Arabidopsis thaliana: one gene and its partner. The protein of the gene in region 1 binds, or shares a complex with, the protein of each later gene. Each region holds a gene or a part of one and is shown on either strand. Other genes may lie near its edges.

Region 1 (3,756 bases):
GGCACCGAAGGCAGGCGTGTTTGTGGCACCAAAGGCAGGCGTGCTTGATGCACCAAACGAGGGTGTGCTTGTGGCGCCAAAAGAAGGCGTGCTTGGAGCGCCAAAGGCAGGCGTGTTAGTGGCACCAAAAGGTGTAGACGAACCAAAAGAGGTGTTTCCAAATGCAGGTTGGGATTGCTGCGTGGAGTTTCCAAAAGGATTTGACTGAGGCGTTGAAAATCCCAAAGGTTTCTGCCCAAAACCAGAAGATCCTAAAAAGGAAACAAATAAAATTAGCTTAATCACCAAATGCAAATGTAAAACTGTTAAACAGGGCTTATTCTTAAACCCTTGTCCTACCAAAGACATAAAATATATTCATACCCAGGAGAAGCAATAAATCAATGAGGCAACTAACAAACCATGCAATGAAATCCATAAAAGGTACTTACCACCAAAAGGTGAAGATGCTGGAGATGCTCCAAAGGCCGGAGTAGAATTCCCAAATGCTGGTGATGAAGAAGCTCCAAAAGTTGGGGTGGAGGCAAAGGGAGAGGATGTTTGAGGTGCACCAAAAACACCGGTTGAAGTGCTTCCGAATATTGAACTTCCCGACTGTGCAGCAAAAGGAGCAGACGTGCCAAACGGTGTAGCTGGAGCAAAGGGATTATTACTACTTGTATTGCTGGTCTGACCAAACAAAGATTGAGACCCAAATGGGCTGGTACCAGATGACTGTCCAAAAGCTATAAGAACAATGTTTCAGAAGGTCAATTTTCTTTAGAAGTATATACAAAAGAAATAAATAGCATAAAACTATAAAACAATAACGAAATATTTGGCTTCGGAAACCAACAAGTAAGAATAAGATAGGATTACTTACGATTAGATGAGCCAAACATCTTCCTCTGTAGTTTGACAACGGATGGCCAAGCCAAAAGAAATTATATTATCCTGTAGCTGGAAAAAAGAACAATGATTAGGAGAAGATAACAACAGAACCAAATGCACATAAGCAGCACCATACCGGTAAAAGCTGGTTTTAAAAATTCAAACACAATAAACATCCGTAAATTATACTATGAATTCAACATCAACTTAAGAAGTTGGTTCCTGCGCTACAGAGAGTAGTAGACAAAGGACCTAGAAAGTGTATTGTAAGCAGGTATGACTGAGAGAAAGAGAGATGAGGAACCTAACGAACCTCTAAAACCATTGAACTAAGCAACATCACAACTAGAAATCATCGGGAACTCAGAAATTGAATATGCAAAATGAATATAAAACTTGAGCAAATCCAGCAATAAAATCAAAGCTGGAACTAATCGAAATGAAACTCGAAGAAATACCTATGAATCCGATGTCAAAAAGAGAAGAACAAGGACACACGTTCTTCGACCAATCAGATATGATATCAAAGGACTCTCAAGAGACCAAGAGCGGAAGCTCCGATCGTCGAAATTATCTGCGTGGAGGAAATTAGGGTTCAGGAGTGAAATCGCCGAGAAACGAATAGGCGGCGTGGAATCAAATGTGGAGCAAGAAGATGTAGGAGAAATGGAACCTGAAAACGACGAGCTCGATCTGAAAAGCGACTAGAAGATGGAGCAATTTCGCCGGAATCGAAAGCGCGACGGTTGCAACTTGCAAAGAGCGAACGATTGGCCCTTTTTGTTGGTATGATATGATGACTTCTCTCTTCCTGCTTGCGTGTTTAATTGCTGAATTTAGGGCATCTTCACGGTAAAAGTGATAGAAAGTATCTCAAAAAAAAAAAAATTAATCCAATCAATATATTTTCCGAATGGTGCAGTTCAAATAATAACGAAAATACATAGATACATATGTATATGTAAAGATTTTGATACTGTTACAGCACTGTTGCGGTGCGATTTTGGATGCGGTTTTAGTCATCATTTACAGCTTCAGTTCGAAGAAAATAAATCACTGGTTAAATGACAACTGTCAATAAATGCTGAGAATCGTTTCTCCTGTGAAAAACGTTCATCCACTTTTTTCTCTTTCTCTCTAATTTATTTTCTTTTTTATTATTATTTAATTGATAAGTATCTCATTCACATACTCCGATGGAAATGGTCTCACTTTTAGGAAATACAGTAAATTTTGCTTATTTACTTTCAACCATTGTAATAGAGAGTTTAAAATGCTTTGTTTCCAACGTTAATTTTGTCTCAATACTACAACAATGCTTTGGTTTGTAATAGACCCATATTTTGGGCCTGTATTAGGCCCATATATATTAATAAGTGCACTTTTTGAACCTGACGACATATCACAAAACTCCAAGCTCGAAACATGGATTCGAATCCAAGCTCAAATTAGTTTAACATTATACAAGTTTCGAAATACAGGCTCAAATATATGTTTCTGATAGCAACTTTGAAATATATCCTGCTATATTATTTGGGAAGTACATTTTAAATGTAACTTTAATTTTTGTAATTAATTACATGATAATGTCATTAGAAAAATTTAACCAAAAACAAAATTTTTTATTGACGTCATTAAGGTTACCAGAATCATTTAAAGACAATATTCATCTCTTACCTATATGGCTTATTGGATCTAAAGACGGGTCATCAAAGATTTCCTAAACTAAAGCAAAATATACTGAATATTCAAATATCTCTCTGTTACCAAATTATAAACAAATAAGTTCGTAAAACAATTTAATATTTTATATACGAAATCAATTAAATCTTAATCACATAAAAATTAGCACAAAAAAGTATTTAACAATTAAAAAATTATATAATCTCTGTGTTATATAAGTTTTGATATTATATTCGAATAAAGTGTAATATACCTTTTCAATTTGTATTCTTTAAATAATTTAAGCTAACTAATATATTTGCTAATCTTATACTATCAAAACCGACTATTGTTTCTTATCTCTATAATATTTTTACAAGACTTTTTTGGTAGATTTAGGTAAAAGTGCATTCAGGTCATATGGTACATTCCCCTATTAAATAAATATGGTGCACTCCTATGTTATTAGCTAAAATGTTTATATTATAATTCAGAGTCATATCATAAATAAAATTAATATTAATAAAATAAATGGCTGTTTGGCAAGACGGATTTGGAGGGACGGGTTTTTGAATCAACATTAATAAAAAAGTAAAATATAATTAATCCACCGTTTCAATACGGAATAAATCTTTAATTTATTATTTTTTAGACCACTAATATTAAATATATCAAATCATCCTAATTTAGAAAAGATTATATAAAACCAAAAATGTTATGTGGTATGTATAATGTTACTATATATAAAATTAAACTATAAAATATAAATGTATTAGAGAATGATACAATTTGCAAAACTTTTATATATAATAAATAATTCTTCAATTTTAAAAACTACTACTTTAAAAAAAATCACGGGACGGGTAAAAAAATTACAGAACAGGTTTTATTTTGGAATTGGGTTATATGGTAGATGTATTTGAATAAATATTTATAAAATTTTAAAATATTATTAATATGCTGTTTTAATAGGGGTTAAAACTTCAGTTTTTTAACAATTGTCTCATGGATTTATGGTATAGCGTTACTTTATAACAATTTTAAATTGTAAAATATAAATATTAATAATAAAATTTGCAAATTTTAATATATATTACTTTAAAAAATAAATCGTCCCGCGATATACCGCGGGTTAAAATCTAGTATTAATATATAGGTGTTAACATACATCATCATGTTCCATTGTTACAAAACTCGTTGATAAGGTTGTCTAAATTCTTCCTA
Region 2 (3,756 bases), on another chromosome or scaffold:
CCACGAGTTCTTTGCCTGGAGTTGAGGATACTCGAGGACTCGAACCCACCGGCACTAGTTGACCAGCATGAGCCTCTCTGCTTGTATCAATCATATTTGTTTTAGGTAGCATTGATATTCTGCTGAGGCTCTGAAGGAAGTCACGTTTTTCTTTTCTCCAATCCTCCTGTCAAGTCAAAATTCACATTCAATATTTAGCATCCATATCTTTCTAATATATCACTTAGCAAACCATCCACATCCATGAAAAGTCTCTTTACAAAGATAAAAGCATAGTACAAATGTAGAATTGACAAACAACAACATTGCAGAATTGTATCACAGTGACTTATCATTAAATTAAAATTAAAAATAGCCAGAATACAAACCTCCAACACTTTCATCATGTAGTCATTAAAGCTTCGAACATTATCCTTTTGGGCTTCCTGAATAGCTGATACCATAGCCATTTCATGAACCTAAAACAAAACAATAACAATACACATCATATCGACCAATCCTCGCCAAGAAAATCAATCTATATGATGATAGATATAGTAAACCTTGGAGAAATAGAAGTACCTGTTGCAGGTATTCTTCAACGCTCGTCGCCTCAGCAGGGAACACATCCTCAAATGTTGTCTTTTAAGAGTATTCAAAATAAATAAAAACATCACATAGTGGCAAAAAAGAATAATCACATTTGAATAGCAGACAGCAAGCTGAGAGATGTGTAAGCATACAAAGGTGGGACTCCAATGCCTTACAATACCAATAGTCGGACCAAAGACACAGTCAGACAACAGCAAGTGATCATGAATTTGTTTGCTAAGACAGCTAAAGAAGTAGATTCGTTTGACGACATATGAAAAATTTGTTTCACTACAAGTAAAAAGAAAACTACTTACTCACATATTGTACTTTCTTATCTCAAGGAAAAACACACCAATAGACAAAGTAATCCTTGAAGCACATTATAAGGAGAGACAGCTAAGATGAAAAATGTCACCTTGAGCTCGAAAGATTTAAGATCACGAGCTAGTTGCTCTGCATTGATTCCCTCCCGTGCGAGTAGTCTGCAAAATGTCCAACGACAAAAAAGAAAGACAAGAGAATTAACGCTTGCTTTTGGGTAGTAGCTACGTCCCATTTGAAAGCTGAGCAATGAATTCAAGACATTTCAAATTCTTGTTCGCATACAAAACACAATAACAAGTGAATGAGACGGTAAAAATGAGATTAACCTAGTGGCAGCAATAGACTGAGAAGGAGCTTCGTTCCTCAGGGTTTTAGCCTTGAGCTTCTTCGATAACGCTTCCAACTGATCTAAATTTCTCTGATAGTGAAACAGACAAAAATCAATCGAACTAATCTTAAACGATGAACCTCAAAACCAGCGGAAAGAGGAAGAACCTGAAGAGGAGGAAACTGAGAAGAAGGAGCAGCTTGCTCCAGAAGCTTCGACGAAGAATGGAGAAGATCAGTCCAACCACTCATCTCTTGGTCGTTCGCCATTGATTTTGGATTCGAGCTACTACTACGCAGTCGGGGAAGCAGCAAAGAGAGGGTTTCCGTCGGGATTCAAACCTTTTTGATTTATTTTGTTTTATGTTATTACCTTTTACGACTAATTATACTTTTCTGTTAATATATAGAATTTCTTTAAATTCGATAAGAAAAAATAGCTATTTACTGTATTTAGCCCATTTTTAAGAATTAGACAACCAATGAAGACAAATTAAAAAGCCATCAAAAATGCTCTGTAAATCCAAACATATTTTTGTCTCATTTTCTTTTCATGAACAAAGTTTTTTTCCGCTTTGCGAATATTGTATGGGGGAATAAGATTATGAAAAAATTACCATCTTACTATAACAATAATAATATTCCTTTCTTCAAGTTTTTTAACGCCATTACAAGAATCTTAAGCAAAGGACTTCAAAAAAGATTTGAAAAAGAAACAAAAGGCTCTACTAGAGAGAGAGAACAATTGCTTTGTATCTTCCTCAGTCGATATAGATTTATAGATATAGATAGTTCTCTATTGCATATAGAAGAATCAAGAAACGACTTCAAGGACTTGACAGGTTTTTCAGATCCTCTTCCTTTGCATACCAACTTGGTGCTATCTTTGACAGATGTGGATACAAGTCTTTGTATGAATTCCTTATTGTCCCTTCTGCTACTCCTGTCGCATGCGATATATCTGCACCCCACCCCAAATATTAATCAGTCTATGTTTTGTTTAAAACGAATCAATGAGAATAAATGAGACCCGAAAGAATGAAAAAACCGAACCTTTGAGAGTCTTCTTGTCATCAGACAGCTGGGTTATGATATAGATGACTACTGCTGCTATTGATATAGGACTCCTCCTGCAATTTCCCAAAATAAACATCTTTAAGATTCTGCTGTGTTTATCTCCGTCCCGAACTGAGGGAAATAATTGAAATGTACCTTATATCAAATTCCTCAGATTTTTGCACAGCTTCCTGAGCAGCTTTCACCGCATGGTTAGACATTGCAAGGTTGGAGCAGAACCTTCTCTGCAATTTCATCAAATACAGAGTTATGAAACCACGTAGTCAATGCAGCCAGCATAATCAACTGTTTCATAACATAATTAGCACACTCTAGCTAGGTTCTGGTATCAGCAACAATTTTAGTTTTAGACAAACTCACCATGAAATCACCAGCGTGTATAGTTCCTAAATCCACAGACTGACCAGGCTCCAGTCCCAATGTCTTAACAATGTAGTCTTTTGCTCGGCCAATTTCCTTCTTTGTCGCCCCATTGGCAATAACGCATATTTCTATTCACAAGGTTCACGAGTTTGATTGACTTATGTCAAAGCTATATCAAGAGGTAACAAGACTCTCTCAAATGAGAAATCTTTGAAATGTACCCTTAATAGTTCGTGGCTTGTCCTCTTGGCGACAAGCAATGTACAGACAGGCTGCATAAAGTGCATCCTGATTTCTTCCCCTGCTTGACTTCTGATCCTCCAGCCTCTTATATAACTCATTAGCCCGATCCTACATATCACGAAAATCCACCAAAGCTGTAAATGAAATGCTCCAACAGCACATCCTAACATATACATTCCACAAACATATTAAGTTAGCAGAGACGAACAAGTTTACCTTGATAGTTGCAACAAGTCCCAACCTGGAAAAAATATCAACAAGTTAGTGTTCTCTATTATCACAAGGATAATAATGTACATACACAGCAGAACATAAATCTGGCAATGTAAACAAACACTCTAAACAACCAACAGAAACTTCATCCCTTTGAGGAACAGACTAACACATCACGAGCTAAACGCATAAAGTACAAGGAAAGTGAAAACTCTCAATGAAAGATTAAAAAGGAAGCTCCTTTTGTTCTTTAATTGACAATGTAATTTCACAAACGTATGCAAGAGGCGTGATGATAAATCAAAGCAAGTTCATACAAAATCAATCTCCAATAGGATTAAGGATCGTGTGATCTAAACGTTTCAATTGTTTATAAAGTTGCAATCCAATCTCAGAGAAGGTGAGATCTCAAAATGGGGACTACCTTTCAGACATGGTAGCAATGGTTTTAAAAGCTTGAATCAAACCACGATCGGAATTGGAGTTACGATTCTGCCACCTCCCGAGAGAAGAAGACAAGAAATCACCAGATGAACCATTGGGCTTAGCGATAACAGTGGTTAAAGCACTATCAGCGAGAAGCGGGTTGGTTGGACCACCGACACGATTGGGATCGCTGTTGGAAGATTCATTAGC

The links.
Region 2: AT1G10390 (region 1) and AT2G41620 share a complex: the UniProt entries of both Arabidopsis thaliana proteins name them as parts of the nuclear pore complex.

Annotation. Positions count from the first base shown.
Region 1 is NC_003070.9:3,411,165-3,414,920, forward strand, and holds the start of AT1G10390 (Nucleoporin autopeptidase), read right to left. Parts: upstream 1,711-3,756; 5' UTR 1,579-1,710; coding exon of another isoform or gene 1,386-1,578; 5' UTR 1,369-1,385; coding exon of another isoform or gene 1,310-1,368; intron 940-1,309; 5' UTR 882-939; coding exon 863-881; intron 726-862; coding exon 432-725; intron 252-431; coding exon 1-251. Other genes in the region: AT1G10395 (uncharacterized protein), read left to right, coding at 1,310-1,368, 1,386-1,578; AT1G10400 (UDP-Glycosyltransferase superfamily protein), read right to left, coding at 3,705-3,756.
Region 2 is NC_003071.7:17,353,504-17,357,259, forward strand, and holds the start of AT2G41620 (Nucleoporin interacting component (Nup93/Nic96-like) family protein), read right to left. Parts: upstream 1,601-3,756; 5' UTR 1,495-1,600; coding exon 1,393-1,494; intron 1,316-1,392; coding exon 1,224-1,315; intron 1,056-1,223; coding exon 989-1,055; intron 622-988; coding exon 562-621; intron 459-561; coding exon 369-458; intron 167-368; coding exon 1-166. Other genes in the region: TFIIB (transcription factor IIB), read right to left, coding at 2,052-2,185, 2,278-2,354, 2,437-2,525, 2,662-2,792, 2,886-3,015, 3,124-3,148, 3,545-3,756.